Callithrix jacchus: one gene and its partners. The protein of the gene in region 1 interacts with the protein of each later gene in a biochemical or structural test. Links are inferred from orthologs where the notes say so. Each region holds a gene or a part of one and is shown in the gene's direction. Other genes may lie near its edges. The genes, in order: PEX5, PEX7 and AGXT.

Region 1 (3,291 bases):
TTGGATAGATTGAGACTGAAGGGTCCTGAGAGTGGGCTGGGAAACCTAGGATCAATCTGAAGGAGGTCTGCATTCTACAGTTCAGTACCAGGATGAAACAGAAAAACAGGTTCTTACATTGAACTTTGAGAGTAGAAGGGATGACTGATAGCTTGATGAATCTTGTGGATATGATTGACTAGTGAAGGAATTAATTTTGGAGGAATGGAAACATAGACATTTATCTACCTACTTTTTTTGTGTTTCTTTTCCTTTGCATCCAGCTCCCTGTTTCTTGAAGTGAAAGAGCTCTTCCTGGCAGCTGTGCGACTGGACCCTACCTCCATTGACCCTGATGTGCAGTGTGGCTTGGGAGTCCTTTTCAACCTGAGTGGGGAGTATGACAAGGCCGTGGACTGCTTCACAGCTGCCCTCAGTGTTCGTCCCAATGTGAGCCTAGGGGAGGAATGGAAATGGGACATGATTCTGTACCTCATTGAAGAATCATTTATTGGGAAGCTGGGTGTGTCATGGTGCATGCCTGTAGTCCCAGCTACTTGGGATGCTGAAGTAGGAGGATCACTTGAGCCCGGGAGTTCAAATCCAGTCTGGGCAACATAGCAAGACCCTGCCCCCTGCCACAAAAGAGAATAATTTGTTCAGACTTTTGGAGTCATGGGGTATTTCGTTCCAGTGTTCCATGTACTGACTGCTTTGGGAGGATTGAGAAAACAAGGGTGGGAGTCTAGGGTCATCTGGATAGGGTGAGAGGGATTACATTGTAGCAACTCACAGTGAACTGTTAAGAATGGAATGGGATGAAACATGTTAGCTAAACAGAGTAGTGAAGCAGTGAGAGTAATGGGCAGAATTTGATCTGAGTTGAGCTGTTCCTATCCCTTCTGCATCCCTATCTCAGGACTATTTGCTGTGGAATAAGCTAGGGGCCACCTTGGCCAATGGAAACCAGAGTGAAGAAGCAGTAGCTGCATACCGCCGGGCCCTCGAGCTTCAGCCTGGCTATATCCGGTCCCGCTATAACCTGGGCATCAGCTGCATCAACCTTGGCGCTCACCGGTGAGAGTATCTACTGAGCAATGAATGAATGAACATTTTCTCCTTGCCTGTGGCCCTAGCTCCTCATTCTCAGATCCTGTGGCTAACCAGCCCAGCTTTCTCTCTCTCCTGCTGCTAGCTGACCTGCTTCCTTCCATTGTTCTTCAGTACCAGCTCTCATTCCTCTTCTTCCTTATAGGGAGGCTGTGGAGCACTTTCTGGAGGCCCTGAACATGCAGAGGAAAAGCCGGGGCCCTCGGGGTGAAGGAGGCGCCATGTCGGAGAACATCTGGAGCACCCTGCGTTTGGCATTGTCTATGTTAGGCCAGAGCGATGCCTATGGTGCAGCTGATGCCCGGGATCTGCCCACTCTCCTAACTATGTTTGGCCTGCCCCAGTGACAGTGGGATGGGCTGCCCTGTGAGTGTCCACTGGAAGGGTCCCTGCTCTGGATGTGATTCCTTCTCCCCAAATGGGCCTACCAAGGGGGTGGGCTGATGACCATAAGCGGTACGGCCTTTCAGGAACTGCCTCAACGTAGGGGTGGGTAGTCTGTGTTCTAGTTCCTACATAATTGTGGGAAAATGAGCTGCATTATCTCTGAGTCCCTTGGTAATTCAAGGGCTGTACATCCAGCTACAGATCTCTCTGCTCATCATGCCTTTTCTTGGTGCTGAGTTTTGGGTAGGACCCAATGATTTAGGGTAACTTGTCATCAGCTGCTGTTTCTGATAGGGTCTACCACATTTGTAATGTCTCACCTTTCCCTCCCTTTTACTGGGAATTGATAATAGTCCAGCTCCCTTGGGCAGTGTAAGTAGGAGGTTCATTTGCTGTGCGCATCTAATGATGATGGTCTGGGGTGGGACGTGCTAGGAGTTTTCTGTTTGGTTGAATTGTTGATTTGGCTGAGCAGAGCTGATTTTTGGTAGGAGTGTTCATAGTTCTGTTATTCTTGGACCTCTCCTGGCTGAGCTCTGATTCCCTGTGAGCACGATGCTGATGCAGTAATCCTGTGTCATCATCACAGTGGTCCTCAGGAGCTGCCAGGGCCAGTTGCTACAGAGTGTCTGGCTGTGTGGGGTTGGAGGAAGGTTCACTTGTGAAAGGAGGCTGGGTGGGAGCAGGGAGGCGCTAGATTAGATGATATCTAGGCTCTGTTCTGGAGCATTGGGAGGACAGAGCAAGTGAGAAGGGGGTGTGGTGAATGCAGCAAACCCTCGTCCTCTTAGAAGCACCTGTGAATGGGAATTGAGTTAACTCTTCTAGAAAGTTGGTTCAGAAATTGCAATCTTGCAGATTTCTAGCAAGTAGGTTCAGTGTTACCATAAGCCTTTGCTATACTTCTTGAAATGTTTCTAGGGAAGAGCATTGGAAAATCCCTTTCCCCCATCTTGTCTCCGGAAGGTAAAGATTAAAGGAAGATGAGGGAGCAGCTTGGATTCTTCTCAATTGTCCCCTGCTTGGGGAGATAATGACTGCTAAGCCTCTTGCCTTGTCTTCAGTAGCTAATGATCAGAGACTTTTTTTTTAAACTACCATGGTCCCAAGATTCCATTCTGAAATTTATTTTTCTTTGTATGAATATGTGTAAATGATTTAAAAATAAAACTGTAAAATATTTGTACAAAGAATAAATGGAACTGATGTGGGTATGAGTTCTGCTGCTGGTCATGAAGTTGGGGTGGCAGGAGGTGCGTTCGTGTTTGGAGGAGTCTGATTCAACAGTTTTTGTCTTTCAAATTCTCGTTGGTGCATTGGTGACCCGCTCATCCCTCTAGGAATGATAGAGCACAGGGGACAGGGTCCCTGTGCTTGGGGAGCTTCTGGGCTAGCAGGAGAAACAGATTTCTGATAATCATGAATTTTTACTCCTGTTACTACTACAAAGGAAAGCGTGCAGTGCCATATAATTGTTAGGTTGTTTTGTATTAAGACTTACATGGAAGGATTTTGATAGTTTTTTGATGCTTAGGGTTTCTAAAGGTTTTTATCTGGCTCTGCCTGCTTTTGTCAGGAACTGTATCAAGTGCCATATCAAGATGGGTATTAGTCCTGAGGAAACATTTTAAAATATGCACAGATATTTATACTTGGAGATAGATGTCTATGGCCACATTAGAAAGAGAAAAAAAATCTTTTTTTTCTTGAGATGGAGTTTTGCTCTTGTTGCCTAGGCTGGAGTGCAATGGCGCAATCTCGGCCCACTGCAACCTCCACCTCTTGGGTTCAAGTGATTCTCCTGCCTTAGCCTCC
Region 2 (3,650 bases), on another chromosome or scaffold:
TTTTTGATACAGAGTCTGGCTCTGTCACCCAGGCTGGAGTATAGTGGCATGATGTTGGCTCACTTCAGTCTCTGTCTCCTGGGTTCAAAGTGATTCTCTTTCCTCAGCCTCCTAAGTAACTGGGATTACATACAGGTGCCTGCCACCATACCTGGCTAATTTTTTAGTTTTTAGTAGAGACAGGGTTTTGCCATTTTGGCCAGGCTGGTCTCGAACTCCTGACCTCAGGTGATCTGCCTGCCTTGGCCTCCGAAAGTGCTGGTATTACATGCATGAGCCACTGGGCCTGGCCTAAAATTTTTTTTTTTTTTAATTGGCTGTGCCCCAATGGTCTACCTCTGTAGTCCCAGCTACTTGGGAGGCTGAAGTGGGAGGATTGCTTGAGTCCAGTTCAAGGCTACAATGAGCTCTCATTGGGCCCCTACACTCCAGCCTGGGTGACAGAGCAAGACTCCTTCTCTTAAATAAAAAACAAAACAAAACAAATCTGAAGCCTATCTCTTAGTGTCCACTCATAAATTATAAAACTTATAACAAATGTGGAGTAGTATACTTTGCAACATTACATTTTTGGATTATGACATTCCTATGGACTTTTTTTTTTAGCCTTTCTGAATCTGTTGCCATATTTATCAAGTACCTGCTCTATTTAATTCCCATAGTTGTGAAGATTACATGAGATATATCTATTGAAATATGTGATGAATTTTAAGGAAAAAAGCCATAATTGTAATTATTATTTTTTGTGTGTGTAGCTGCCTGTATAAGTGTTGTTTGTTTGTTTGTTTGCTTTTTCCTGGTATAGCTTTGACTGGAGTGATGGTTTGTTCGATGTGACCTGGAGTGAGAACAATGAACATGTCCTCGTCACCTGCAGTGGCGATGGCTCGCTACAGCTCTGGGACACAGCCAGAGCTGCGGGGCCACTGCAGGTCTATAAGGAACACACTCAGGAGGTAGGTGGGGAATCTTTCTGGGCTGATTATTTTTCTTTCTTCGACTTTGGTTGAAATCCATTTGGGGATGCACACATGGAGAAATGTCTCCCAGGGACAAGTTTAAACTTTAGTATTTCTTAGACACACTAGATGTCACTTATTATTTGATTATTCAAACATAAAGTACCTCTTGGCGTAAGGAGCTGAGAAAGAAAAGAAAAGGTCAGTCTTCTCATTAGGCAGAAAAAAACGCCTCCAGCAGTGTGCTCTGGGTTCATTTCCTCCCGAGAGGCCCATCACTTTCTTTGTGCTCTAAGAATGTGCTTGCCACAGGGTGCTTTAAGATAGAGGTAGGTGGACTTTTCACAGAGACATCACAAGATTGCCTTTGGGGCTTCAGTGAGATTCTTGAGGAGTTTCAGAATATATTGGAGCAAGAGCATAAAATACTGAGTATGAGGCAGAACTTTGATCATTTATATCTACATCTGGTTCATGTGTCTAGATTTTGTGTGTGTGTGTGTGTGTGTGTGTGTATGTATAGCATAGAAAATAGTTTCAGTTGTACTAACATACATATATATTTTCAGTGAAGATAGTAATGAAGACATCCTCTTTTTTGTGTTTTTACCTTAAATGTTTTAAGATTTTCCTTAAGGTGGCAGTACGTCCTTCAAATGAAAACTTGCTAATTTACTTTCAAATTTTTGTCCACCACAGTGCCTGGTCCAAGAAGGCCCTCAATAAATGCTTATTAGATGCAAGAATATCAGTCTTTTGTGGTAAAAGATTAGTTATGTGAGGGATCCAGATGTTTTATAGCTGTAGGTATTGACAATCAAGATTTCTAAAATTGTTATTGAAATATTGACATTTCAGTTTCTATTTTTATTTTTATTTTATTTATTTTTATTTTTGAGATTGAGTCTCACTCTTTCGCCCAGGTTGGAGTGCAGTGGCGCAATCTCAGCTCACTACAGCTTCTACCTCCCGGGTTCAAGCAATTCTTCTGGCTTAGCCTCCCAAGTTGCTGGGACTACAGGCAAGCACCACCAACACCTGGCTATTTTTTAAATTTTTTTGAGATGGAGTCTTGCTCTGTCACTCAGGCTGTATTTTTAGTAGAGACAGGGTTTTACTATATTGACCAGGGTGGTCTCAAACTTCTGACCTCATGATCCACCCGCCTTGGCCTCCCAAAGTGCTGGGATTAGAGGTGTGAGCCACCGTGCCCAGCCAGTTTGTAATTTGATTGTGATAGCTATTTGAATAAATGTAGTTGTGAATCACCATGTTTTCAGGGAATTACTGACTATTAAGACAATTTTGATAAAGGAGAAATTTTAGTTTCAGGATGATCCATGCACGAATCTTTACAGAGTAGTATGTCCAAAATTCAGATACTTTTGTGGAACCTGGGTGAATTTTTTTGTTTTGTTTTGTTTTATTTTAGTCGGGGTCTCGCTCTGTTGCTCAGGCTGGAGTGCAGTGGTGCGATCTTGGTTCCCTGCAACCTCCACCTCCTTTTCATTGTATTTGCAGGTGGTGGAAAGAGGACGAGAGAGGTTTTGGAAATCCCTTTTATAAGAGCACTAATCTCATTCATGAGGGCTCTAAATTCATGACTCCCAGGCTCAAGCCGTTCTCATGTCTTAGCCACCTGAGTAGCTGGAATTACAGATATGTGCCACCATGCCCTGCTAATTTTTGTATTTTCAGTAGAGATGGGGTTTCACCATGTTGGTCAGGCTGGTCTTGAACTCCTGGGCTCAAGTGATCCCGCCTGTGTTTTTGTGTGTGTGTGTGTGTGGTTTTTTTTTTTTTTTGGAGAGATGAAGTTTCGCTGTGTTGCCCAGGCTAGTTTTTGTGATTTTTGATATCTTTTTATATCACTTATATTATAATTAATTTAATGTTTTTCTTTTTCTTCTTTCTTTTTTAAAAAAATATTTTCTTCTCAGAAGTTTTTTTCCTTTTTCTTAAGTCTTTGGTGCCTTTTATGACTTATGTGTATAAATTCAAGGATGGTAACTAACATCATAAAATAATATAGCTAATTAAGTTAAATTCAATATATTGACTTAATGTTTTTCTTTCAATCAACTAAAGTTGTTGCTTCATTTATCCTAAAACAGTAATATTCATGAAACAATGGGGTTGATGGTTACTTTAGTATGTACATTTATTTGTTTTTAATGTACATTAAAATCAATTAGTAATGAATAAAATAAATGTATGTACCAGTTAAAATAATCTCTTGTGCAACTACTCTCTGGGAAATACTGTTCTAGGATGTCCTAGATGGCTGGTCACTCAGTCTTTACTTCATCTCAGTGAAAGTGAATTTCACTTTATCTTGATATTACTTATTTGACTTTTAAATTGTTCTCATGATTAAGAAATTCTTGTAAGCCCAGATCTACCTTCTCTAGCAACCAATTGTTGCTCTTAGTGCCTTTCTTTGAAATGGTAAGACTAAGTCCAGCCCTCTTGTCCAGGAAACCTCTTGAAAATAGCCATCGTGCCTCTTCCAGACTGCACTTGCCATTTCATGTCCTGTCCTCAGATGGCATGATCTCTACATCTTTTATCCTCCTGGTAACCTCCTTTGATAATCCTGTTTTTCAATGTTCCTTTCAATGTAGTATACCTAATTTATTCCAGAAATGTGATGAAGGGCTAAGCTTTGTAAGATTTTACCACCATAATCTT
Region 3 (3,650 bases), on another chromosome or scaffold:
TGACGGCTTTGGGGAGCTCTGCCACAGGTGAGTCTGGCTCCGGCGAGGTGGGCTGGAGCCCAGCTCAGAGCCAGGCTGTGGGGAGGGGTGGGCACTGGTCCCTCTGCCCGGGTCCCCACCCCAGCCTCTGTCGCACAGTGTTGGGTGCAGGCACCTCCCAGGTCCTCTTTGCTCTGGGCTGAGTCTAAAAATGAGCCCAGGTCCAGGGGCAGGCTCTGGTGCTCTCCGACCGGGCACCCTCACAGTGCCCACTGACCTCTGTCCCCATGGCTGGAGAGGGCTTGTTGCAGACTTCCATATCCTGCCAGGGCCTGCCCCAAGATTGCCAGGGCACTAAAGCTGCCCGAAGCCCTCCATTTCCCTCCCCTAGCCTCCCTACCCCACACGGGAGTGCACAGGGCTGGGCCTTGAATGGAGTCAGATGGGATAACCTGGGAAATGGGTACAGAGCCCCTTGGTACCCAGCAGTTCCGTTGCAGGGCTGAGCACAGGACAGAGGAGAGGAACTCCACGGCCAGGTCCCAGTCCGGACAGCTGGTGGCCTGGCCGTGTCCGTGAATAAAGCTCGCAAACAACCCGGGGCGGGTGCAGCGACACCCAAGGCTCCCCAGCTGCAGCCAGCGTGAGATACTTTCTGTGTCTTTTTTTTCTTGACAAGAAAACATGTAGGTGGAGGAGGGCGAGAGTGCTGCTGGCCCCGCCCGGCCCTGGCTCTGGCCAGCAGCTGTCGGCAGAGAGTGGCCCAGCCTAGTGCCACCCCGGATCCTGGGGTCCACACAGGCCCTCAGCTGCCTGCCATGCCTGGGGACCCCAGACTGCCCAGCTGACCTCTTCAGCAGCAGTACGGGGCCCTGCAGCTGGGGCCTTCAAGGGCCATGACGCTCCCTTGATCCCCAGCTCCCTCTGCACCGATGCTCAGGGTGGGAGAGGAAGAGCCGCAGGTCCCAGTGGACCCTGACAAAGGCAGGAGAAGGCAGCTGCCAACTCCTGGGTGGCGGCGGGAGGCAGCCCCTTCCTTGCCAGCCTAAGGCTCTGGAGCTACCTCCAGAAACCCCATCCAGGCTGGGGCCCGAGCCCTCCAGAGGCCCCCCGCTTCACCTGGGCCCTCTGTTTTGTCCCCACCCCTCTAGGTACAAGTGCCTGCTCCTGGTGGACTCGGTGGCATCCCTGGGCGGGGCTCCTCTGTACATGGACCAGCAAGGTAAGGCTGTGCCCCGGGGGCCTACCCTGCTTGAGCCGCCTCAGGCTCCACATGCAGGAAGCCTGGCTGGAGTGAGGATTCCGCCCCATCTCCACCTGGCCTGGGGGACACTCGCTGCTTACTGGGGCAAGAACGGCTCCAGAAACTGCCTGGCACCACCATGTTTCCACTTAGCTGTCAGATCCAGGCATGGGGGCTGGCGGGAGGGGCAGCTTCTGGTGGGGGACATTTGAGAGGCCCCAGAGCTGTAGTGGGGGCGGTGGGAAGAGCAAGGGGCAGGGCTCCAGCCAATCAGGCCTAGGAGACCCCTCTGCCCAACCCCCAGAGGCTCCGTTTCTCATCCACCCCAAACCCTGCCAGGCTGTCCAAAGCAGTGAGCACCTCTGTCAGGGTCACCTTGCAGGGAACCTCAGCCAGGCTGGCCGAGGGACCGAGGGGCCTCCCGTGCCCAGCCGCTCTCTGGGGAGAGCCTGCACCCCACACCACCGAGCTGCCCCGGCCCACTCCACAGAGCCTGTCTGTTTCCACAGAGCTCCTCCTGATTTGGGAGTTTTCAGGCAGGGAGGAAGGGATTTCTGGGCTGACCCTCACACTACTACTGAAAGCAGGGACCTGGGGAGGAGCCCAGGGGTGCAGTGCGGGGGAGGCAGGGCTGTCCCTGGGGACGAGCACAGTGGAGGGAGAAGCGGCGCTGAAAGGCTCAGGGCCGAGGTCATGGCTGCCCTTCAGCAGTGTTGAGATTGGAACCCAGGACTCCCTTCTGCGTCTCCCCACCATCGTGCACGGATTCTTGGTGGGGTCGTAGCCCTCCCGCCTGTTAGCGAGGCCGGCACCCTGCTGGACTGGCCTGCCATGGGACAGGGTCCCTGTCCCGAGCGAACCTCCCTCCTACAGGCATTGACATCTTGTACTCGGGTTCCCAGAAGGTTCTGAACGCACCTCCAGGGACCTCGTTACTCTCCTTCAGTGACACTGCCAAGTGAGTGACCCACAGCCCCTCACCCCATGCAGGGCTGCGCTTGCAGGGAGCTCAGGGGGCCCGAGGCGGGAGGGGCTGGAACCAGGCAGGAAGGGCTCCCCAGTTCTGGGAGGCCACAGGCTCTGCATTCACGGGGAGTGGGGAGGCCGGATGAGGGGAGGACCAGGGGTGGTGCAGGGTGCAGAGTCTGGCACTCCGGCAGTTCCCAGCTTCACACTAAGGAGTGGTCCGGAAAGGACTGGGGGCCTGTGGCCCAGCGCCCCACACAGCCTCCACCCTGGCTCAGTTTTCAGGGGTTGCCCCAAGGGACACATGGGCCACACACAGTGTCCCCTGCCATCCTCATCTCACCTCCCATGCTAGTGTCCAGATGCTGAGCCAGGCCGGGCAGGGGGTGGGGGAAGGGGGCCAGGCCTCGAAGGCAGTTCTCATCCAGCTGCAGCCTGGCAACAGGAGGTGCCGGTCCCCAGAACAGAGAGGACTTTGGGGTGATGTCAGGAATTCGGTGTTGGAAGGGGAGGTCCGAGGTGCCCGCTGGACCACAGGGAGGGCCAAGGGGGCAGCTGGGTGTGTTCAGGAGCCTGAGGAGAGGCCCAGGCTGGCTGGTCGACCTGGAGTTGTAGAGACAGACACATTTCAAGTTCCAAGCCTGGCCTGGGGGCCTGAGAGCAGTCACCTTTGGGTGATGAGGGAAATGAAGGCTGACCCCGTGGGAGGGGCTGGGGGAGAGAAAGGGGTGCACAGAGTAGAGGGAGCCTCAGGTGCCCCCTGGCGGGGTCACACCCATGTGGGCAGAGGTGCAGGCTGGGCCCGAGGGCCAGCAGGACTGGACAGCTGAGGGTCCCGCGGCCAGCCTGGTCCCACACTGGCCCCTGAGCACAAATGCAGCTGGGCAGGCCCTCCTGGGAGCCCTGCCACGTCTCACTCCTGTGAAACAGGACGGCTGACAAGACCGCCTGGCCTTCACCCCAAACTGAGAGGCCGGGGCTCAGGCGGCTCCTTCCTCCCCAGGAACAAGATCTACTCCCGCAAGACAAAGCCGTCCTCTTTCTACCTGGACGTCAAGTACCTGGCCAACCTCTGGGGCTGTGACGGCCAGCCCAGGATGTGAGGCCCAGTGGGGACGGGAAGGCGGGGTGCTGGGCGTGGCTGAGAGGTGGGGGCCGACCTCTCTCTGCACTCGGGGATTCTCCAAGCCCCCCACCTTCCTGCCCCATGAACCCCAACTAGAGCCCCAGAATTCACCTGCACCAGGCTACCAAATACCCCACCCAAGGTTCCCCCATTCCCCGGCCCAAGGCTCTGGGCAGGTGTGTGGCCCCCAGACCCTTCCGAAAACACTGTTCTCCCCAGAAGTCCCAGCGCACCCTCGGGCACTGTTGACCTGACCCTGCCATATCTCCCCACTCCCAGGCCTCAGTTTACTCCCTCTCAAAAGACGACCTTGGCCATAAACCCAAGGCCCCTTAT

What was found.
Region 2: the proteins of PEX5 (region 1) and PEX7 form a complex in vitro, tested with the Homo sapiens proteins (3 studies listed by BioGRID). The link is inferred for Callithrix jacchus from reciprocal best matches to the Homo sapiens genes PEX5 and PEX7.
Region 3: the proteins of PEX5 (region 1) and AGXT are reported together in a solved structure, tested with the Homo sapiens proteins (2 studies listed by BioGRID and IntAct, with this or other methods). The link is inferred for Callithrix jacchus from reciprocal best matches to the Homo sapiens genes PEX5 and AGXT.

The regions. Positions count from the first base shown.
Region 1 is NC_133510.1:21,501,641-21,504,931, forward strand, and holds the end of PEX5 (peroxisomal biogenesis factor 5), read left to right. Parts: intron 1-263; coding exon 264-429; intron 430-898; coding exon 899-1,056; intron 1,057-1,234; coding exon 1,235-1,436; 3' UTR 1,437-2,690; downstream 2,691-3,291.
Region 2 is NC_133505.1:143,635,862-143,639,511, forward strand, and holds part of PEX7 (peroxisomal biogenesis factor 7), read left to right. Parts: intron 1-805; coding exon 806-956; intron 957-3,650. UniProt on the Homo sapiens protein: Receptor required for the peroxisomal import of proteins containing a C-terminal PTS2-type peroxisomal targeting signal. Specifically binds to cargo proteins containing a PTS2 peroxisomal targeting signal in the cytosol.
Region 3 is NC_133507.1:162,140,672-162,144,321, forward strand, and holds part of AGXT (alanine--glyoxylate aminotransferase), read left to right. Parts: coding exon 1-27; intron 28-1,130; coding exon 1,131-1,201; intron 1,202-2,095; coding exon 2,096-2,180; intron 2,181-3,191; coding exon 3,192-3,287; intron 3,288-3,650. UniProt on the Homo sapiens protein: Peroxisomal aminotransferase that catalyzes the transamination of glyoxylate to glycine and contributes to the glyoxylate detoxification.